Struthio camelus: one gene and its partners. The protein of the gene in region 3 purifies or fractionates together with the protein of the main gene of each other region. This does not show direct contact. Links are inferred from orthologs where the notes say so. Each region holds a gene or a part of one and is shown on either strand. Other genes may lie near its edges.

What was found. The genes of interacting proteins can lie anywhere in the genome.
Region 1: the proteins of HNRNPA1 (region 3) and RPS3A purify together in Homo sapiens (affinity purification with mass spectrometry; 3 studies listed by BioGRID and IntAct, counting the BioPlex papers as one, with this or other methods). This does not show direct contact. The link is inferred for Struthio camelus from reciprocal best matches to the Homo sapiens genes HNRNPA1 and RPS3A.
Region 2: the proteins of HNRNPA1 (region 3) and LRPPRC purify together in Homo sapiens (affinity purification with mass spectrometry; 3 studies listed by BioGRID, with this or other methods). This does not show direct contact. The link is inferred for Struthio camelus from reciprocal best matches to the Homo sapiens genes HNRNPA1 and LRPPRC.

What each region holds. Positions count from the first base shown.
Region 1 is NC_090945.1:37,075,525-37,082,617, forward strand, and holds the start of RPS3A (small ribosomal subunit protein eS1), read left to right. Parts: upstream 1-4,085; 5' UTR 4,086-4,954; coding exon 4,955-5,151; intron 5,152-5,826; coding exon 5,827-5,930; intron 5,931-7,093.
Region 2 is NC_090944.1:110,245,702-110,253,789, reverse strand, and holds the start of LRPPRC (leucine-rich PPR motif-containing protein, mitochondrial), read right to left. Parts: upstream 3,009-8,088; 5' UTR 2,949-3,008; coding exon 2,821-2,948; intron 2,397-2,820; exon of another isoform or gene 2,285-2,396; intron 1-2,284. UniProt on the Homo sapiens protein: May play a role in RNA metabolism in both nuclei and mitochondria. In the nucleus binds to HNRPA1-associated poly(A) mRNAs and is part of nmRNP complexes at late stages of mRNA maturation which are possibly associated with nuclear mRNA export.
Region 3 is NC_090969.1:2,899,803-2,907,615, reverse strand, and holds the start of HNRNPA1 (heterogeneous nuclear ribonucleoprotein A1), read left to right. Parts: upstream 1-4,857; 5' UTR 4,858-4,907; coding exon 4,908-4,922; intron 4,923-5,876; coding exon 5,877-5,993; intron 5,994-6,594; coding exon 6,595-6,741; intron 6,742-7,279; coding exon 7,280-7,490; intron 7,491-7,579; coding exon 7,580-7,672; intron 7,673-7,750; coding exon 7,751-7,813. Other genes in the region: CBX5 (chromobox protein homolog 5), read right to left, coding at 1,210-1,360, 1,472-1,569, 1,668-1,854, 2,154-2,332, 4,393-4,857. UniProt on the Homo sapiens protein: Involved in the packaging of pre-mRNA into hnRNP particles, transport of poly(A) mRNA from the nucleus to the cytoplasm and modulation of splice site selection.

The DNA of each region.
Region 1 (7,093 bases), on a different chromosome or scaffold from region 3:
TGCAGCATCTCTCCATGAAAAGGAAACTGATGGCAAAGGTCAGTAGCGTCTGGTGGCAGAGATGGAGGTCCAAAACCGTTCAGTTGTTTCATGGGTAATGGAGAAAGCTGGAGAAGGAGACATAGATGTTGCTTTGTATACGTTTCCAAAGATTTATAGGGAGCTGGATTTTGATCTTGGCATTAGGAAACTGCATCTATTCCTAGGTTGGGGTGGTAACCCTTTAGGAGGCAAATAAATACACCCTTTTTTTCCAAAATTCGCTTTCCACAAAGCCCTCCTGTTACGGGCTAGAGATGCTAGACCGTTGTAATTAAAGTGAGAACTTCTTCCCACATACTGAGCTGGCAGCAGCTAGATTCCTGAAGAAAGCAACTTTATTTATGATGCTAGCAATAAAATACCTTATAATAAAAGATTGTAAACAATCTTAACTCTCACTTACTGAGTGTTTACTTAGAGGCAATCTTTAGGATTGCTATGTGTAATTTTCTCATTGTGAGAAATATTTTTTTTTACTCGTATAAATATAAAACTTTTTCAGTGGAAAGGATGCCATTTTCTTCAGCTTATTTTTGCCTTTTTTCCCTCTCTTCTGCTCCTATTTGAAATATCTGAAGTACTGATTTAGTTACAAGGCAATTTCAAGGCTCTGGAAATGCCTGAGCTCCGCACTGTATCTGAACCAGAGAACAATACAAATGACTCCTGGTATTTCCTAGAAATGGCTGATTTTTGGAGAAATTTTCTTGCTCAGCTAACAACAAAGGAACAAAGACCCTTGGAGCACTGCTCAACAGTAAGTGTATATATATGGTTTCGCGGGATGCTGGCTTGTATTTGTGGTAGCCAGCTACACTTAAGAAAAATTAGGGCAAAATGCTGCTCCAAGCACAGGACTCTGAAAGGAAGCTGTGGGGTTATCCACAAAAGAAATAAACTGGCAAGAACAGCATCTAGTACCTTTTTTTTTTTTTTTTTCTTGAAAGACTAACACAATGTTGGAGGAGATAAACATTTTGTCATCTTCTGAACTTAAAACCTAAGGGAAGTTGGCTCCAGTTACTATATTTCCATGACCCAAATCCATTAGAGTGGAATTCCTTACATATATCTTTGTTTGTTTAAATGTGTCCTTTTCTAGCATAAGCATAACTGCTCAGGTTAAATACAATTAATTTAATCTGTGATCCCAAGAGGTATATTGATACATGTTCCTTGAACATACAGGTACCAGGACTATGCCCATTTTCTTTTCACTGATGAATGACACTAATAACTGGACCTACTTCCTAGGGATGACACAAGGGGAAACTTTGCAGAGCATGGTTGATTTTTTTTTTTTTTTTTTTTTTTTTTGGGGGGGGCGGGGGGGGAGAGACTCAAGAGCAGTCCTGTGTGTTGACTATTTCAGTTGTGCAAGATGGTTGGAGGGGAAAGGCAGCAAGATAACATGTAACAAGCCTGGTTGGAATGCCTCTTGATTCATTTTGGTAATCTTGGTACCTCTGCTTCTTCCTAGGTTCTTCAGGAAGATGTATGGAATTAGGGTATAAAATTGCAGAGAAAAATGTGGGATTTTTTTTGTCTTTGTGCATTTCTTGTGGGAATGGATGCTGAAGAACCAGAATGACAATAAGGAAAAAGGAAGTGTGTTCTACTAGCTACAACAACAACCTATTTCATGTGAGTGGGATTCTGAAAACTCTTCAATAGTATATAAGAACATCAAAAATAACTATAAAAGGTGCTGTCTTCATAACTGTAGTGGTTATTGTGCAATATTTAATACTATATTAGTTAGAATCCATTATCAGTTCAGTGTTTCATAGATGGTAAAGCCATTGATTAATGGCAATCAGTCACCATTAATATCTTAACTTTGAGAAGACCTAGCTTGTGTGCAATAAAGCTATATTGGGGCCGGGGGGTGGGGAGAGGGTTATCATCCCCAACTGGGAAGTCTCTTAACAGCAAAGCTTGATTAGAATTAACTACTCTCTGATATCCATATTTAGAAAGTTTTGCCACTTCCAAGAAATAGAGCAAGCCAACTTCATTCAGTTATCACGCTCAACAGGGAAGTGACTAAAAAAGGAAAGAAAAAAAGCCACATCAGGTCCTTCAGCTTAGTTAGAGAACTGCAGGCAGAGTTCTGTAGTTTGAGAACTAGAAAGGAAGGAGAGGAAGGTGAATTCGTCTGTTCACTGCAAAGAAGGTAGGAAGGAAGGGTGAAAAATGCCTCCTGGAGACACAGTTAATAACAGATAGACAATCTGTTCTGTTTTGACAGCCTACCTATGGAGACAAAGAAATTCTGTTGAGAGAGAGAACCAAACCCAACTTCCTGTGTGGCAAAGTTTGGAATCATAGAAAAAGTTAGGATGTGAGGAGCTTTGGAGGTTGTCCGGTCTGACCCCCTGCACAATACAGGGCTAACTTCAAAGTTAGATCAGTCTTAATGCCTATTTCCTGCTGAAGTTTTTCTGTCTTTACACAGTTTCTATGTAAAAGCAGAGAAGAGGAGAGGGGAAAAAAAAAAAAAGCCTTTAACTGCTAGAGGCCTTTGAAGTATTTGCTCAGCTTTCCAGTTATCCTTTTGAAATGCTGGATGGTAGCATCTGGCAGAAGTGCTAGGCTGATTACATCAGATTCATTATGACTTTATTTCCAGCAGAAATAAAGAACCTTTCTAAGGTTCTTGCTGGGCACCTCTCCTGATTTTTTTTTTTTTTTTTTGGTGTTTCCACCCTGCAGATCACTTCCCTTTTCAGCTGGTTCCAAACTCATTTAGGAGGGGAGTATCAAGACAATAAAATCCCTGATGTTGGTACATGGAGGAGCCTTAGAGCTTAGGAAGCCTTCAGTTACTGTCCTGGGCAAAAGCAAAGGGCAGTTACTGTCAGGTAAACAGGCTGGTTGTGGTATCTGATTGAGAAACTACTAGGAAATCCAAAAAGTTCTCCTCAGAAGATATGTAGTTTCAGGAGCTATAAGAGGTATTTTATTTGTGCAAGTGAGATTTTTAAAGTTAACTCTGTCTGCTGCAGGGAATCCTAATTAATAATGTGCCAACAAAGCAGATCAGTTGAGATGAGGCTTTTGCAGCTCTGCAGCCTGGAGAAGGAGACTGCAGCTTGTCATGGCTGGCGTCCCTTTACCCTGCCATTCAGGAGAAAAATATGAAGATTTCTTTTCTTCAAGTCTGATCACCTAGGAGGTAGTGAGCAGGAGCTCTGCTCTTGTCTGATTATGTTCTCAGTCTGATAGTGTGAGTTACTGATGGATTCCAGTTGCTTTAGGCATGCAGATGAAATTCCAGGCTGGTGTGAAAGAAATTGATGAAGTAATCAGAACTGTGCCTGTGGCTCCGGTTTCATTTGTAAAATGTAACAGATGGTGTTTGTGTGGCTGACAACTGCCTCTTTCCAAGTGCAAGATTTTTATTACCCTGAACATGTTTTAACTGGCAAGTTCAAACAGATTCAGAAGCCCCGAACAGTTCATGCCCCAGCCTCAGACCCGTGCTGCAGGCAAGCAGCTGTAACACTGGAAGGGGATAGAGCCAGGATCTGCCACCATGCCCAAGGCTCCCCACGCTTCTAGTCTGGCACACCAGTTGTCAGGCAGCCTGTTAGTTTAATCTGCAATCTGCTGAGCACCTGTGCCCAGCATGCAAGCACCCAGAGTGGGAGGCAGCCTACGCTGCAGCTGGTGTCAGTGTACTGTGTATGTAGCGATGGAAGCACCAGGCTGCAGCTTAGCATTACAGGCTCTTCCCACCATGTAACTCGATTTGCTTTTTTATGCCCTTGGCATGTGACTCAAGTTGATGAGTGAAAGAACGTGAAAGCAGCAACAAGTAATTGGAGAGCTGAACTTGGAATGCTTTGAGTAGGTGTTTGGATGCTTCTCTTACAAAGCAAACTACTATGAAACGCAGCCTGAACTTCTCACAGTATTATTCTGCTTGCAACACTTTTATCTAAAAGGATTTCCTGTGTCTGGGATGTGGGAATCATATGATGTCAATACTTAATTATATTCTGGGTTGTGTGTGGTGTTGTTTTTTTTTTTTTTACGAGTTTTGCCATGATTATGAAGAGTAATTTGTAATGATCTCTGAACTAAGTATGTAGAAGACATACAGCAGCATTTGTCCGTGTCTGTAAGAAGCATGACAAACACCTGGAAAGTATGAGCTACAATTTAAGTTGATTAATCATGATGAAGCTGGAAGGGGTCAGTAAGACTATCTAACCTGATCTCGCACAGAACTCAAACTACAAGACTTTTCTGAATAAACTCCCATTTGAGCCATACCTAAATACCTACCATGAGGAAAAAAATACCTGTTATCAATTTAGAAATGCCTGGGGAGGGGAAAGGGAACTGACAGTCTCTTAAGTTTTCTCCAAAGTCTGATTATGCTCGTTTTTGAAAAATATATGCCTTATTTCTAATAAGCATTCACATACTGTGAATATCCACAGTTGTTGGATCTCACGTAGCCTATCAACCAAAGACAAGAGAGCCTTTTATGGTCACGTTTCTCTTCCCCATGTAGGTACTTAATGACACAGTTTTATTTCCTCTTTCTAGAGGTTTGTAAAGCGCCCACAGAATTTTTGAGTCTGAGGGGTTTTAGTTGCTGGCAAAACTACTCCCCGGCCTTTTCGTCGCCTCCAGGTTACTCTTCAGCCACGGGCGCTGAGCTCTAGCGGCCGCTCCGCGGCCGTTCACCTCCGGCAGCGCCTGACACCACCTTACCGAATCTTTCTGAGGGTAGCTGGCAGCTGAAGCCTCCCTTCTTACAAGGCACACAGCACCGTCACCGGAGACCCCCGGCCCGAGCCAATCTGGGGTTTTTGTGTCTCGTTCCCCTTCTCCCCCCCCCCCCCCGCCTTCCCCCCGGCGCCCGGAAGTCCCCTCGCGCCCGCTGCCCCGCGCCGTGATGGCGGCCGTGATCTCGCGAGAGGCCCGCCGGTCTCGCGAGATCGGCGCAGCCGGAGCTCTCGCGCGAGCGCCGCTCTCGTATAATCTCGCGCGAGGAGGAGGCGCCGGCCCTTTCCGTCGGCGGGGCGGCACCATGGCGGTCGGCAAGAACAAGCGCCTCACCAAAGGCGGCAAGAAGGGCGCCAAGAAGAAAGTGTACGGCGGGCCGGCGGGGCGCCGCGCCGGGGCCTGGGCCGGGGGGGCGGCGCCGCGGCGCCGGGATGCCGCGGATGCGGGGCGGATGGCGGCGGCGGCAGCGGGCCGCGGCGGCGGCGGCTGTCATGGCGGCGGGGCCCGGTGGCCGTTGGGGCGGGGGCGGGGGTGCCGCGCAGGGCCCGGGCTGGAGGCGGCCGGCGGCGCGGGGCTGGGAACGGAGCGGAGCTGGGCGGCTGCAACAGCGAGGCCGCTCAGAGGCCCGGGGCGGGTTGGTTTTTATCCCTAGTGCGAGTCAAGTCTCGCGCTTACAGGGTCTTTAAGTGTAAAGCGAGGCCTCAGCAGAAGGATTGAAATACACTGCTTGTTTTATCAAAAAATGACAGGCCACACTGCAGCGCGGTATTGCTTTTTGACGTTCTAGCCCTGTGATGCTTCTGAAGTTGGTTTCCTTCTTTCTGAAGTACACCGGCATTTGTGTGCGCTTCGTTTGTGTGCGAAGTACAGTGTTCACTGTATGCGTTCATGCACCTGTTAACCTGTCCATCTTAAACGTGGAAACACAGCGTTTTGAAATTTGCGTTTCCATGTCACAAAGCGTATGGGGAGAAGTACTTGCTTCAGCCAGGTTTAATCTGAAAAATGAGTGAAAATCTTTTCTCCTTCATTTAAATTAAGGGTTGATCCCTTCTCCAAAAAGGACTGGTATGATGTCAAAGCACCAGCAATGTTTAATATCCGAAACATTGGGAAGACACTTGTCACCAGGACTCAAGGAACTAGTGAGTAGTGGAGTTTTATGCAGTAGATGGCTGTCTGTTTGTTCCATGTGATAGTACTAAATGACAATCAGGTGAAGAAATGGTGACAAGTAATTCTTGTTTGTAATAGTATAAGGTAACCTAAAATAAAAAAAAGAAAGAGTTCCAACTTAATTGCTTGATTCCAGTGATCTTTATTCAGTTGACAGAGTTTAAACCAATGGGCTTGGTTGCAATGATATGAAGAGAGGAGCTAATGCGGTGGGGCCCTTGTTTGCACAAGGGTACTAAAGTATAGAAATGGTACAGAAAGACATATCTGAAGTTTCTAATAGTTATTGGGGTATCTTAAAGAAGTTGAGAAAAGTTAAGAATTAAGGAATTATTCTGAATATCTGAGACAGAGATGTGGAGACTGTTACAGGAGACTGTGATCTTAATGGGATCGTAGAGGCTTTCCCTTTGGAAGCGACCAAGATTGGAAGCCTTTATGCCAGAGATCTTTGTTGTGTGTGGAATCCCAAACGTAATGGGAGCATGTGTAAACTTACCACTGAAAAGGTTTTTTCCTCTTACATGTAGTCCGAGGTACGGTAACGCTTAGTAGTTTAGTAGGGAAAGGAACCTTCTGTTAATGCAGCGTGATCTAGAGAGAGGTGTAACATGGTGTTCTTGGATGATTAGCCATGAGGTATGGCTGAAAACTTGCATTTTTCTCTCCCAGTTGCATTGTAAGGTATGCAGATTCTCAGTGCTGTTTTAAACTATGCATATGAAACGAGTAAAATTAGGGTCACCGCAAACAGACTGTCTGAGTCAGCTAATATTAAAACGGTACATTGCTCACAGGCAGAGCTGTGAAATGACTTTATCTCTGAGTATGCATTGCTTTATACGTTTATCTTTTCATTATTGTATCTCAAAATACTTTGCAACCTCTCCCCCCCCCCCTTTTTAAACTATTACAAATGCTAGAATTTACACCATATTGGTGTTTGTGTTTAGCCTCTGACTCAAAAGACTCCTCACAAAGTTAGCAAAACAAGATATTCACTTCTTTAAGTTGATTTGTTTGTGTTTAAGGTGCATGCCAACTTCAGAGTTACAAAGATAGTGTCGTTACCTAATATTAGAACACATCAAACGGAAGTTCAGCATCTGAGTTGAATAATACTTTTCTAAGT
Region 2 (8,088 bases), on a different chromosome or scaffold from region 3:
CAACCTGAGAACAATGAAAGACATAACTGCTGTTTCTATGAACATATTCTCTATCAAACATCTATTTCTCTAAGTATAATTCTTTTTTAATCATACTTAATCTAGCCTGAACATTAAAGTCGTCAGCAAGATCCCTAAACGATCCCATGTGACTCCTTTTACGCATGAAAACTTAGCAGAGTATAACTGGAAGCAAAAAGGTAACACTTGTGGAAAAAGATCAGCTGCTAAAGTCGGAAAATAACACTGTATAAAGCACTTTTCCAAGTTCTTTCCAGAAATACAATCCTAGCAAGTGCTGCTACTCCCTCATCAAATCATGCATGCATTTTGCGAACACTACTTCTTGCAACAAACTATTTTATGAAATGCTGCTTCCATTAGAGGAAAAAAAAAAAAATCAGCTGAAACGGCACAAGGTACAAAAGTCTATTTAAGACTAAATTTGTAGCTCTGTTGGTAACCATAGAGCATATCTCTTCTGGGTTCCCTGTTCCTTCCTTCACAAGTTCTACTCCAACTCTATTCCTCCCACCTACTCTAGTATTTAAAGATCTGTTTTACTTTAATCACTAAAAACAACAGAAAACTTTTTTTTTTTTTTTTTGCGCTCTGAGTTGGTTTTCTATCAGGTTACTCAAACAAATCAACTACAGGTTTGATAAGCCTCAGTGTTGGTGCAAAGGGGATAAGTAGCAGTAATCTGCCTATTTGGGGAGAGCTAAGACCTCCCCTCTAGGAGATTTTACTTTCCCCTTTCCGTTGCTCTTTTCTTCCTACTACTCCTCCTGAGCCAGCTCTGGAGCTCACTAGATAAATTTGTTTAGCAAAGGACCTATCTAGAATGGTAGAAAACTGTTTAGCTTTTCTGAGTGAGCTGCTTTTCTGTCACTCCACCTCTGAGTCACACTGACTCAGAGGGACCACCAGAACTAATAACAAGCCAAGTGTGAAACAGGACAGAAAAACTTCCTCCTTTGAGTAGCACTACATTGCTACTCACACACTCAATCTCATAAGACTGAGTGTGCGTGCCTGACGCTTTTAGATTCTTAGATTTTATGCAAAAATTTGTCTATAACATGACTTGGATATTTAACTAGATGAATATCAAGCTCTCAGCTATTTGTGCCTTTGCACTTCACATCTAACAGAGATATCAGCTACTATCAGAACAGTTTGTAAGGTGACAGCACTAAACAGTAAAAGCACCATATCCCTTTCCTACCTAACTGAACTGGTTCCTCACCAGGTTTTACACATGCTGCAAGAAATAAAGCAAATAATCATATCCTTGGAGGAAAGAGATCTAAACTCCTCTTTAACTACATGGTTGTAATCTATAAAATATAAATATTTGTTTTTATTATTTGTTTTATTATTTATATTTAACAATTGTAATTATAATTACAGTAAGTCATTTTCCATAAACGAAAGCTAAAGCATCTCAAACCATTCCCAACTTTATATTTTGCAGACATAGAAATAGAACGTGATGGAAATCAAAATCTAATCTCGTCAAGGATCAGAAATCATGAGCAAACCTTTCCCATTCACACGCAGTTTGAGAACGTGCTGACAATAAAATAATCCCTAAAATAAAATAACTTAAGTCTTCATGTAGTTCTGACAGCATCCTAACTATATAAAATATGAAAGGTAAACACGACTCAAAGCCTTTTACGTACCTATCAACTGCACAAGGTAAATATCCTTAACAAAAGTAATTGACGGAACTACAGAAACAACTAGCCTACCTAAAAGAGAGAATGCTATAACTAACATCATCTTTTAGAAAAATCAGTGCATAAAAAGAGCTAAAAAATTTATGCAGCTCTGGCACGTTCAGGGTTGAGCCTTATGCATTTCCATGTCCTGAAGATGAATGCTCCAGACAAAAAAATTTCCCAGCTCCTAAGCTGCATTTAACCACCACTGGAAAGAAAGCTTAGCTCTCCCAAAACTAAAAAGAGAACACTGTAACGCTCTGATTCAACCCTATCATACTCCTTGGGTCCTACAAAGTCACAGAAAGACAGACATGTGACATCATTACCCCACACTTTCACTTTCTCTCTATTTCCTGCTTTAATGACTGATTTGTACAAAACCAGTACACTCATCTTAAGGAAAAGCTGTGCCTCAAAACTTCCTGCAAGGCACCAACGAGGTATTAGCGTACTCAGAACAGGAACGGGAGTGCGGCCAGGGCAGGCACTCCATGGTGTGACGGAAGAGAGGAAAACACATAAACGAAATTAAGCTACTCCTCCTGATAACTGACCCAGCCAGGTCTGATGGACAAGGGCAAGAAAGCGCCGAATCCAACTGCTTAGTTACTTGGAGTAAACTACTGCGTTGCCCAGCCTCGTCTCTCCCTTCCTCCTTGACGCCCCATCTCCACAGCTTGTCCCACGTATAATTACACGGCCTGGAAGAAGACTTGCCTCTTCCTCTTCACAGAGGAAAAGAAACAGCGTGCTCTCGCGTAAGTCACAAGGGACAACACTGTAAGACAAAGCGAGGGAAGGGGCGCTCCGCCTTTGGCGGCGCTGGAGAAGAGCAGTTGCGCTCCCCGCGCCCTTCGACCCTGAGCTCACCCTGCTCACACGTGGCGAGAGGCCGCCGCCGCCGCCGGGCCGGCCCCGCAGGGTCCCCCCGCCCCCCGCCTCACCCCGCAGCCCGGGAAGCGAGGCGCCGGACGGGCCAACGGCCGCGGGCCAACGGCCACCGGGGCGCGAGGCGGCCCCGGCGGCCGCGCCCTTGCGCGCCGCCCCCGCCTCAGCTGCTGCGGGGCAGCGCCGCGGAGCCGGGTCTCACCTGCCGGGGGGTGGGGCGGCGCCCCGGGCCGGGGGGCGCGCGGCGGCTGCCGCCGGCGGGCGGAGGAGGGGCAGGAGGCGCGGGCAGAGCGCCCGGAGGCGCCCGGCGGAGCTCAGCAGCGCGGCCATGACCTCCGCGCGCGCGCGCCGCACTCGGAGGAGCACGTGAGCCGGCCGCCGCCGCTACTGCGCGTGCGCACCCGGGCCCGGGGGAGGGTGGTGGCGGGTGGCGCTCCGCCTCTGCCGGCCGACGTGCTGGGGAAAACCATTCCCTCAGGGGAGGGCCTCTGGGCCCGACTAGAACCTGGCCCGCTGACGGCACTGGGGAGCTTTGCAATCCCCCCTATGCCACTGATGGAACATTCCAAGCAAGGTCGGCGCTGCCGCTCGTCACCCTGGGAGTGGGTCGATCAAAAACCAACCCGGAGTTGCTCCATCTAAAGCCTGTCGGCCATGTCCCTTTAGCCCATAAAGGGGTAAAGCCAGGTCTCGGAGGCAAAGTCTGCGTCTCGCTGCGCTTCTGAGCCGGGGAAGGCGAGGACAATGTCGTGCCTCTCTCGGGAGTCGGGCCTTATTCTAAGCGTCCCTCAGGCAATTCCGCGCTAGATAACGGTTGGCCCCGAGAGGGTCTCCCAGCTAGGTAAGCGTCGGCCCGCCCCCGCCAGGAGCCGGAAGTCACGTGGGGGGGGGGGGGAGCAGTGCGCGAGCTGCGTCTTCCTGTGTCGTGGGTGGCTGCGCGAGCGCGCAGGAGGTTCTGGGGGCCGCGAAGGGCCGTTGCGCGCTGCCGTTGGGCGCGCACCGCTACCGCCGGGCCGGGCCGGGCGGGACGGGACACGCGAGGTTAGTGCCTCTGAGGGCTCAGGGCGAACCGCCTCGGCGCTGGCTCCCAGCCCGGGCCGGCCGGCCTCGTCTGCCCTCAGGTGTCGGCGCTTCTGTTCTAGAGCCCTGTGGGGGGAGGTTAAGGGCAGTGGCTCCTGCCTGGCGCTGCTGCCGCCAGCCGAGCTGTCTCGGCTGGTTTTACCCACTTTGGGCTCTCTTGAGAGAGAGGAAGCGTTTTCTGTAGTTCCCCGCAAGTTCAGGATTTCAGGCGGGATGGAGCTGTCACCAATTTTCAGTGGGTTATTTCAGGCACTGTAATGTACGTCTCTGACACTCTACTGGATGCATATGTACTACCTATGACAAGCAGCATACAAACGTGAGAAAGAAACTTGGCTTCTTTTTGTCGCTAATAGGAAGAGCTCCATCTGAACTCAGCTATTAGTTGATTTGTACTTTTTGTTTTAAGAAAGTTGCACTTGCATAGTTTGGCTGTGAAAGCCACCAGTGGCTGTCAGTCTTTACTGCAGTGACATGCACTGACTGGATTTTTGTGTTGAAAGAGCAGAAGCGAAGAGCCTCTGAAATCTCCTCTCCTACTCTCTTTCCTTCTGGAAAAGACTGGCGTTATGGGTTGTGGGGGGAAGAACCTTGATTTAAAAACTTTTTATAACTGTAAATCTCTGCCTGATCATGTTTACTAAGATGTTCTGTGCGTTGTAATTTTGTACTAATGTGCAAGTTAAAGCTGGGTACTAAGACATAATTATACAACATCAAATTAGGTAGGTACTTCTAAGTTAAGTAAATGTTTTTATACAAAAACATCTAATTATTTTTGCAGTAGACTGCGCATAACTACTCCAGGGGGCAGATTGCTCATCAAACTGAGATTGAATTTATCAAGTCAATTACAATCAGTCATTTTCTATTACAGTTTATTTGGTAAGACGTGTGAAGTCCTGAGGACATCAAAATGTGAAGAGCACAGTTTTTAGAACTTGTGAACATCTGCTTTTGCTATTTATAAAAAAAAAGTTCTGGGTGCTCAATACTTGTCGTAGTCAAGCCTTAGGTCATGAAATAAAGCTAATATTACAATATTTGTAAGGTTACTGCTTTTCATGGGTTCTGCTTTATCACGATGTTACGATATTTCACACAGCACACACTTTAGTATGAATAGCGGAGTCCAAGATGAATTTCTTAACTTAAATGCAAAGCTAGTAACATACATGCTAATTATTAGGATGATATAGGAACTTACTTACCAAACTTAGATGTGGAGTAGAGCCCCACTATGCTAGGAGCTATTAAAACGCATGTCTCTGATGCTGATAAGAAAGCTAAGGAAAGATAAAGCAAAAGGATAGAGAAGAAAAGGGAAATGGTGACATAACATGATTATTAATAATGCTGATAATAATTGATCAGCATAATAAATAGTAGGCTTCTGTTGCTCAGACCTCACTGTTACTGAATCAGTAAAGGACAGTTTTAAGAACTGTTTTAAAGGAGACAGAACTCTTCCAAAGGGCAGAGAAGACCCAAAGGTGTTTGTCTGAAAATCTAGTAAGTAGATCACAGGATCTGAAATGATGAGCTGCTCAGAGAAGAGCTGACTCTTCACTCCCAAGTGGTAAGTCATAGACAGGGTTCTGTTTTAGAAGTGAAGACAGCTGTTTTGCTTGCTAATGAAAAGGAAAGGAGTCCCTGAGGAATTAATTCAAGATGTGATATACCTGAAGCAGTAGACTTAGGTGTTATATTTGCTGAAGCTCTCTGAATGGATGAGGGTCTAGTTTGCGCTATCAAGATCTGGAAAAGACAAAGTTTTAATCAGTAATTGAAACGTAATTGTTAGAGCCTTGCTGAGAGTTTTAATTCTGTGGATGAAGACGGAAGGTTGTGTATTAGACACATTATTCAAGGAGAAAAATGGTTAGCACTTGTATGTATGTGAGAATCTAGAGAAAGCGCTGAGTGGTGGAATAATCAGTAGTAGTTGAGAAAGAGACGTTATTAGGTAGAGAGTGAAAGTTTATTTTGGCCATGCTAAGCTTGAGTTGATGTGTCATACATGAGATGTGAATGAGGCACCAGGATTTTAGTTTAGACAGAAAGTTTGAGATAGACCTCTTGGGCCTCAGCACAGGGTTAGTAGCTATATTTGTAGGAAAGATTATCCAGAGATAAGGGGATGTAGAGCAGAAAAGGGCGAAAACACAAATACACCCAAAGAGGAGGAGGAAGATACTCATCCAAAGATCCTCTTAAGGAACTTTTAGGTTGCAAAAGGTGAAATAAGGAAAAGGAGGAGTCATAGAAGCCAAGGAAGAAAAAGCTACCAGAAATCAGTTGTGCTCAGCTGTGTAAGAGACAGTTGAAAAGTCAGGGATGGTGTGAATGAGTCTATGCTAAGAGAGGGGAAAGAAGGATGTGGGGCGGACAAGGGACCAGAAAAAGGGAGTAGTCCAGGGGAAACTGGTTTGTTGGTCTCAGTACCAAAGAAAGAATTAACACAAAGCCCCAGAGAAGCAAAATAAATCCTCTGCTGACTTTCTGTTTTTTCCTTTCTCCAAACAGCCCAGATCTTCCAAGATTCTTGGCCTGGCCTGATTGACCCCAGGGAATCTATTCCTAGGGAGAATAATTCCCAGGAGACTATTCCCACAGATAATTTAGCAGTGCCAGGGAACATATCTGGACTTCAGAGATGTTTCTGTACTGTTAAATTCCTAGTCTCTGAAAAAGTTTTGGCCCATGCCACGCAACTGCTGGGCGAAGTTTAGGGAATTAGCATCAGTCAGCCTGGGACTGTTGCCCTTAGGCAGTTTGGAGATGGCCACGCTGTGTTGGAGGGTAAGAGATTTAAAGGGAAGGACTGTGGCCAAACTCTTCCAGTTGGCTTCAAAGCCAGGGAATGATTCTGGTTATGTTTAATGTAATAGATAGATACATACAGACATATGTGTTCTGCATCCGCCAGTACATTGTTAAGTCCGAATAGGGTTTCTGCTTATAGAGACCTTATCGTAAACAATTCTTAATGATTTTAAACCTTAATTAGAATGTGACATGGAAATTTCCAAAGCAGGAGGTACAATAAATGCAGTAATTCAGAACTTTTTTCCTGCTACTCTCCTTTGTTCCAAAAACAAAACCCAGAACAAATAAACCCTCAGATGTACAAAATAGTCAAAAATATTCAGAAAAATCCGAAAATCCAAAGTTAAAATTCCTCTATGAATGCATCTCCTGAATCTGAACATGAGAAACTGTTGGAGTGCGTGATTCGAGGTGTGTCAAAATCCCTTCAAAACAATGGAGGAAGTGTAAATGGACCTACAGCAGCTCTACTGCATTATTTGTGTAACTGAAATATAAGGGCAAGAGAATTAAAATTGGCCTGGGACTTTTGCCTTTAGGCGGTTTCAACGCGGCAGAGAGTAAGAGCGTGACAAGAATCATGTATATGTATTACTTTATATAAGAGGTTTATGAGAGGTTAACCCTTGAAAAAATCTAACACGGTCTTTGCTTGCAGGCTGTGCATTTAGGGCTAAATTATTCCACGTTTGCCTCAGGGGTCTTCAGAGCGCCCTCTACCTGTTTGCACCTTCTGGTGGAGAAGTCAAATCTGTCGGGGAAGATGTTTCTAGAGTTTCCAGGACAAAAGGTTTTCAGTTAGGCACAGAACATGGTGCAGTCATAGGGGGGAACGTCCTGCCTGTACTTTTGCATGTTTTCTTTTCATTGGCTACGTTAACATGGCCTGCATCTAGAGGCTGCTGTGTGCAAATGAAACCAGTGCCATAAGATACAAACGTCCGATCTCCTGCCAAGGTCATCATCCAGTCACTGTGCGGTCTGTGTTATGTAATGGAGAATGGCAACATGGTTCCCAGCATTCATTTAATGGCTGCATTCATCTTGGGAAATGAACTACAAGGAAGGTTTGCTGTGGAGAGAATAATTTGGGGGGTTTACCTGAGACTTTGGGGGAAGGTAGGCCATGGAATTGGGAAGATGGTGAGCTATGTGTATATCTGTATTGCTAATATGAATACTGGTTTTATTTCTGACATTTTGAGTAAGGATAACCTTAGATTTTAGGCAATGCAGTGATTTGGGATTCTGGTATGAAGAATATGCATTCTTGAGGGGACATGACAAGGAAACCAGAAGGTGACTGTTCCCTGTGACTTGTTCTCCTCCAAGCCTGACTGGAAGTGTAGGCTTTGGTCTCTTGCCTCAACTCAGTCATGCAATCCAGGCTGAAGCAGTAGAGTCTCTGAAAGAGGTGAGTCCCAAGGCTGTAAAAGACGAAAGGATTACAATGAATATAGTTCTCTGTGGTTCTCAGTATATATGTCTGTATATATACAGATACTCCTTCTGTCGCAGGGAAGAGAGTCTAACTCTAAATTCACAGTTAGAGAGGTTTTTG
Region 3 (7,813 bases):
CGTTCCCCCCCCCCCGCGTCCCCCCCGCCGCCCCCTGACGCCCCCTCTCTCCCCAGCCTGCGGGGGCAGCTGGCGCAGGACGGGCTGCTGGGGGGGCTGCCGGACCCCGAAGCGCCTCCCCCCACCTCCAATGAAGCTGCTTGAGCCCCCCCCCCGGCTGGTGACGCGCCCCGGACGCCTGGGTCCCCAGTGCTGCCCCCCCCACCCCGTGCCTCAGTTTCCCCTTTTGGGGGGGGGGGACTGGGCGCATCCTTTGGGGGCACCGCGGGACACCGGGGCCCGCTCTGGGACACCCTCACCCCGTGTCACACCCCCCCCCCGTCACCCCTCGCAGCACCACCCCCGCCAGGTGGCGCCAGAGACCAAGGCCAGGCAGGGGCCCAGGCGTCCGGGGTGGGGGGGGGCACTGCCTTTCCCACCCCCTGCGGTGCTGGGGGGGGGGCCGGACACCTGGGCCCCATCCTGCTTCCTCGGCGGGGGGGGGGAGCAGGACTCCTGGGTCCCTTCCCTGCAGCCTGGGGTGGGGGGGGACACCACCGTTTGGGGGGGGCCGAGCTGGGGACACTGGGGACACTGGCGGGGGGGGGCCGGTTTCCGCTGCCGAGCACCGAGCGGCGGCTCCTGAAAAGTGACCGTTTATTGGAAGCAAATACCGGGGGGGGGGGGGAGAAGGGGACAACCCAGGGCGGGGGGGGGACAATGAAGTGGCCCAGGGTGGTGGGGGGGGCCCCCGGGGGCTGGGGATGGGGGGGGGGCCCAGTTAAAAACATCAACGGTAGAAAAACAGCAGAGATGGGGGCTGAACCCCCCCCCAACCCCCCTGCCCAGCCCCAGAGCTGGGGTTTGGCCGTGGGGGGGGGGACGGGGGGAACCGTCCTGTCCCCGGGACGGACCCCAAGGCTTTGTCACTGGTCGGGGGGGGCGGGGGGGGCGACGCAGGCACCCACGGGCCCCGCTGGGGGCAAACGGGGGCCGATGGGGTTGGGGGGGGGCATAAGGGGAGACCCCCCCCCCACCACCACCTTCCCCAGGCAGGACCGGCTGCGGGCGCTGCGCCGGGGCGCCCGAGGCCACCGCCGCGGGGACCGGCGGGCGGCAGGGGGATGCGGTTATTTTGGGGGGGGGGGAACGGACGACAACGGGGTTGGGGGGGGGGACGGGCGGCGGGCGGACGGGCTATGTACAGCGGGGGCGCCGCCGGGGGCCGCCTTAGCTCTTGGCCGCCTCGCGCTCTTTGCTCTCGGCGTCCTCGGGGTATGCGTGCCAGGTCAGTCTCTCCTCGTAAAAGGCGATGACGATCTGCGGGCACTTCAGGTTCGCCTCCTTGGCCAGCACCAGGTCGGCCTCGTCCGTGTCCTTCCTGCGGGAGTTGGGGCGGGGGGGGGGGACACAAACACATAACGGGGCGTCATGAGCCGCGTCCCCCCCTGCCCGGTTCGCGTCCCCAACGGCGGGGGGCAGCCGCGCTCACCACTTCATCAGGAACATGAGGTCGCCGCACGAATCCGTGGCGCCGATGATCTTCTCGGGCTCCAGGCCTCGCTCGAAGCCCCGCGCGATGTCGTTGCTCTGCGGACGGACGGGAGGGCGCGAAGGAGGAACGGGGCGCTGGCGGCGCCGCGTTACCCCCAACCCCTCCCGCCCGCCGTCGCCCGGCCTCCGCTCACCTCCCGTTTCTTTTTGGCCTTGATGTCCTCGGCGGCGTGGGGCAGGCCGGATTTCCGCTTGGCGCTCTCCGGTTTCTCGCGCGTTTTGTTGGCGTCGCCTTCCTTCATTTTTTTGTATTTTTTCATAAACTCCGAGATGAGCTCCGGGCAGTCCAAGTTCTTCTCCGGCTCCCAGGTGTTATGTTCCCTGCCAGCGGGAAATTTCAAATAAATGAATGAATGAATGAATGAATGAATAAGTGAATGAATAAGTAAATGAATGAATAAATAAATGAATGAATGAATAAATAAATGAATGAATGAATAAATAAATGAATGAATGAATAAATAGATAAGCAAGCAGTGCTGCTAAACGGCTTTCCGGGCGCCGCGGCTGGGCCTCTCCCCAAGGCTGGGAGAGGCTCTCCCCTGCGCCCAGGGGTGCCCCCCGCCTCCCTCCTCTTCCTCCTCGGCTTGAGCGGAGCCGCGAAGGCAGGGGGCACTTACTCGGAGAAGCCTTTCCACTTGAGCAGGTACTCCACTTGCCCCTTGACGACGCGCCTGTCTAGCACCTTCTCCACCACATACTCCTCCTCGTCTTCCGAGGACGAACTGTCTGCTGTCCGCTTGCTCTTCTTGCCCATAGCGCAGGAGCTCCCGCCGAACGCGCCGACGCCACCCAATTCCTGCCGGCCGGAAGCGAAACGCCGTTCGCCGGACGATCCCCAAAGGCCGGCTCGGGCCGCGCGGGGATTCGCCGGGCGGAGCGAGGCCGACCGGCGCCGCGGTTTGAATCTGGTTTCTCGGCGCGGGCGCCGCAAGGTCTCGAAGCCGCCGCGTACGCGTGATCCCCCCCCTCCCCGCCCACCGCCTCCATCCCGCCCCGGGTGAGCCGAACCGGGGCGTCGGCGTCCCCCGCCGGCAATGCTTCCAAGCTCCCGGGCAAAGAGCTGGGTTTTTAAATCCTCTATTTTTTGTTTTAATGACACAGGAAAAAAAAAAACGGAGCGAGAAGAACCGGAGACGGGAATCAGGAAATTCCTCGTCTCCCCGTCCCCGCTCGGCATTTCCTGCCGCGTGCCGGCGTAGGTCGAGCGGCGACGGAGCCGGCCGGGGGCCGCCGGTTCCCGCGCCAGCCGCCTGTCGGAGCTCGGCCTCCTCCTGCAGGGGCAAAAGGAAAGAGCCGGGTTCATCGGCGCTCGCTCCCCGCCGGGGCGGTTTGATTAAAGGTTTGGCGGCGCGGGGCGGCGGGCGAAGGAGCTCGGCGCCACCCGCTTTCGGTGCGTTTTAGGCTGCTTTTTAAACCAAAAACGGCGGCACCGAAAGCTAGCGGGAAGGGAATCGCCCTCTTCCCCCCGCTCCGCCCCGGCCCTCGAAGCCGCCTTCCAGCCACGCGGTGTTTGGGCCCCGGGATGCGTGTTATCCCCGGGCGATTCAACGCGATGATGTAGATGGGGCAGGGGGAGACCCCGGCAGCCCTGACGCCACGGTGACAGGCCCCTCCGAAATCTCCCAGCGTGGGTCATTCGTGCCATCGATGCCGCGGCGTTCGGAGGCGCTTTCCAGCTCCAAGCCGCGGCCTCGACCCGCGGCAAAGGCGTGCCCAAAGCCGGCCTCAGCCCTAAAACCGCTGATTTTTGGCTCGAAGCAGCTCGGGAGCAAAGGGCGCGGAGCGGGATCCCCGCGAAACCTCCGCGTTGGCGGGCGACGGGGCTCCGCCGCTGCCGCCAAACCCCACGGAGAAAAGCCCCGAGGCCGGGCCGAGGCGGCCGCCCCCTCGCTCCGGCTTGTCCAAACCGGAGAGAAATAACACCAAAGCAGTCGGGCGCTTCCTCCCACCCGATGCGAGACGGGTCTCCTCCGCCGCCCGGAGCCGCCTCTCTCCGGAGCGATTTAAGAGCTGTAAGAAACATAACGGGCGACGGCAGGAGAAGACCCACGGCGCCAGGAGCGGAGCCGAACCTCGGCCCGGCCGCCCCGCACGAGCGCGCTGGGGCCGCCGGTTGTTGCCAAGGCCCCTGGGCTCCGGGCTGAGGCCCGACGCCGCTCAGCGCACGCCAGCCTCGCCGGCCGCCCGGAGCCGCTGCTCGGCGCTGCACATCCACCCGGCGGGGCGGGCCGCGCGCTCCCATTGGCCGCCGCCGCCGCCGCTCACGCCGCGGCCCCGCCCCTCTCGGCCCCGCCCCGCCCGCCTCATTGGCCGCGCCGCCCGTCGCTCGCGGCGCGACCCCGCCCCCTCCGGCCCCGCCCCCCGCGGCGGCGCGGCCCCGCCCCCCGCGCGGCACCATTGGCCCGCGCGGCTGCCAATCAGGCCGGCGGGGCACGCCCCCCCTCCTCGCTCCCTGCCCCCCATTCATTCGGCGCAAGGCGCCGCCGCCACCGGCCCGCCGCCGCCGCCCGCTACCTGGGCACGGAGCAGCTCCGCCGCGGCCCCGTCTCCCCCGCGCCGCCGCCGCCGCGCCGAGCCGCCGCCGCTCCTGCGCACTGCCCGCCGCCCGCCAAAACAGCGCCCTCAGCGCGCAGGCGCCGGCCGCCCCGCGCCGCGCATGCGCCCGCCCCGCCCGGCCCCGCGCCGCGCCGGGCTGCGCATGCGCCGAGCGGAGTCCACCTTGGGCGCCGGCGGGCGGGCGGGCGAGCGTCCTCGCTGCTGCCGCGCGCGCCGGGGGGCTGCGCTGGGGGCGCCGCGCGCCGCCCGGCCCCGCCGCTGCCGCTCCGCCGCGGCCCCGCTCCTGCTGCGCTCGCTGACCTCCGCCGGGCCCGCCGCAGGGGAGCGCTGAGCGACAACCGGCCCCGCCAATGAACACCGCCGGGCTGCTGCGCTAGCCAATGAGAGGGAGGCGCGAGGCGGGACCGCGACCGACGGAGCCAATCCGGGAAGAGCTGGCGAGTCTCCGGGACGAAGCGGGAAAAATCGACGCGCGTCACGGGCGGGGCTTCGGAGGCCTCGTCCAATGCGATAGGCCCTGAGGCGGGACCTCCTCTGCGCTAACCAATCGGCGGCGACAGCGCGGGCGGAGCGGCGCGCCACCACCAATGAGGCCCAACCGCTTTGCCCCGCCGCCCAATGGGAGGCGACGCGGGGGCGCGGCGCGGGCGGCACCGCCCAATGGGAGCGGCCGGGGGGCGGGCGGTCGGCGGGGGCGGCGGAGTGAGGCGGCGGCGCTCTCGTCACTCGGCCCCTTTTTGTGTCGGCGCCTCGCAGAGGGAGCATCGCGCGCGGAGCAGCCCGGCTCGGAGGCCGCCTCTCCCCCCACCGCCGCCATGTCCAAGAACGAGGTAAGCGCCGCGCCGCCCCCGCCCTCCCCCGGGCCGCCGCCGCCGCCCGCCGCCGCCCGCCGCGGCCTCCCCCTCCTGGGCCGCCGCGCTCGGCGGCTGGCGGGCCGCGCGCACTGCGCCTGCGCACCCCGCCTCCCCGCCGCCCTCTGCGCACGCGCGGGCGCCCCCCCCGCCCCTCGCGGCGCGCCGGGGGCCCCCAGCGGCGCATGCGCAGCCGCGCGCGCGCTCCCGCTCTCTCTCTCTCCCCCCCCCCCCAACCCCCCGCCGACCCGCGGCTCCCCGCTCGCGGAGCCACGTGCGCGCCTTTGTGCTCGGGTGGGCTATGGCGGCCGCGCGGCCAGCGCGCATGCGCGGCGCTCAGGTCGGCTCCGGGTTGGGGGGGGGGGGCTCCGCCGGGCCGGGGCTGGGCTGAGCCCGGCCGCCTGCACGGGAGGGGTCGGGGGGGGGCACAGGGGTGACAGGGCCTCGCTTGGGGGCTGGGGAAGCCCCATAGATGGGGCTTGGGGGGTGACAGGGCCTAGTTGCGGCCGGCGCGGCCTTGCAGGCTGGACCTGGGGGGTGACGGGGCTGCCCTGGGGTTGGGACAGGCCGGGGGGGGGGCAGGGAGGGCCCTCGGGATGGGCAGGGTCTTGGTGGGGCCTGGGCAGGCCCACAGGTTCGGTGTGGGGGGGACACGACCTGCCTGGGGCTGGGGACAGGGCTGGGGGGGCCCTGTGCAGGGGGGTGGCGGGGGCAGGACCTGACTGGGGCCTGGGGGGCCCCTTTGTAGGGGAATTAGCAGTGATGGGACCTGTTTGGGCCTAGGGGGGCCTGTGGAGGGGAGTTGGCAGTGATGGGACCTCTGTGGCCCTGGGGGGGGTAGGGGTGTCCCACAGGACAGGTAGGGAGGGCAGCCTGCTGGCAGCAGCACCCCCTGCTCACCCCCCTCCCCGTACCGCTCTTTTCTCCCACCAGTCTCCTAAGGAGCCCGAGCAGCTGCGCAAGCTCTTCATTGGCGGCCTCAGCTTCGAAACAACAGACGAAAGCCTCCGCAGCCACTTCGAGCAATGGGGCGCCCTGACCGACTGCGTGGTAAGGCCTGACCCGCGCCTGCCTGCCTCCTCGCGGGGCTCTGCGCTGCGAGGAGACGTGGTTTGCGTTGGGCTTCTCCGCCAGGCTGAGCGGAGTCAAAGCGGTGCAGGAAGCAGCTGAGCCTCTGTGCAGAGACAAGGGTGGGCAATTGAGTTTCGGCCCTCAGGGGCTCTTGTTGTGACACCTCTGGGGAGACCTGGCTCTCTGGGGCTCTCAGACCGCTGTTAGCCCTGGTGGTGTAATACTGAGGGGCTCGAAGCGTATTTATTTGGGTTAAATGGAAAGTGGTTGCTCTGGGTGGAAGACCTGTCTGCTTGGGCCAGGACCTGCCCGCAGAAGGGAGAGGTGAAGGTGCTGAGGGACAGCGTCAGGATGGAGCAAGCCCCGGCCCCAAAATATCCCCCAGTTTCCCTGAGCTGTGTCATAGGGACACCCTGAGGCAGCGCCAACGTCTCTGCATGCGGCAGCTGGTCCCTGATGGTGTCTTTGAGAAGAGCAGGGTTGGTGCTAACTGGTAACCAGCAGGCTAGGACCCCCGTTTGCTGACGGCTCGTTTAGTACCTGTCGCTGTTCCTTGTCTGACGTGGGTTTGTCCTCCCAGGTGATGCGGGACCCAAACACCAAGCGCTCGCGAGGCTTTGGGTTCGTCACGTATTCCTCAGTCGAAGAGGTCGATGCTGCCATGAACGCCAGGCCACACAAAGTCGACGGCAGAGTTGTTGAACCAAAGAGGGCCGTTTCCAGAGAGGTAGGAACCCGCGTGAGGTGCGGACGCTCTGCGGGGCTGCCAGGAGGCGCTGGGCACCTGACGCAGCCAAACCGTGCCCGTGCGCGCGGTGACCGCCGCGATGTGCCACGTCCTGGTGGTGCCAGGAGCTTTTCTGAGGCTCAGGTGATGCCTCGGGCCGTGGCTCTCCCAGCTAGTCCTGCAGCGGTCAAGAAACGCTTTTGGACCTCACTGTTAAGGGCTGAAGGGACCTGGCTGAGGGTAGAGATGGGGCGTAGAAGGCTCAAGGCTGGCCTTGGGGTGGGTCTGCACGGCCTGGATAAGCGGTAACCAAAGCGGGGCAGAACTGCCAGCTCTTCTAGGCTTAAACACCTCGCTCCGGGCCTGGCTGAGAGGGTAACCGCTTCCGAGTGCTGCTGGATGGCTGGTGACTGAGCGCGAGGGTGAAGGTGCTGAGGACGGAGGCTCCGAAGCCTGTTTTTTTTTCTGCCCGGGAGACCTGGGCGTGCGGTGCTGCCCCGTTTCCGCCCCGTTTCCACCTCACGCGTTGTTCCCGCAGGACTCCCAGCGGCCCGGGGCCCACCTCACAGTCAAGAAGATCTTTGTGGGCGGCATTAAGGAAGACACAGAAGAGCATCACTTGAGAGACTATTTTGGCCAGTATGGCAAAATCGAAGTCATTGAGATCATGACAGACCGCGGCAGCGGCAAAAAGAGGGGCTTCGCTTTCGTCACCTTCGATGACCACGACTCCGTCGACAAGATAGTCAGTAAGTCTGGCTGCGGGGAGGGTGCTGGGGGCGCGGGATGGGCGTCCGGCTTGACGGCAGCGTCCTAAACGCCGTTTCCTTCCCTGCAGTTCAGAAATACCACACTGTGAACGGGCACAACTGCGAGGTGAGGAAAGCCCTCTCGAAGCAGGAAATGGCCAGCGCTTCAGCCAGCCAGAGAGGTGAGCGCTCAAATCTCGCCCCAGCTCCCCGCCGCCCCGAGCTGACGCTAGACGTTACTGTCTGTGCTGTTCCTAAAGGCTGTCCCCCTCCCCCCCCTCTTCTAGGCCGCAGCGGCTCCGGGAACTTCGGCGGGGGCCGCG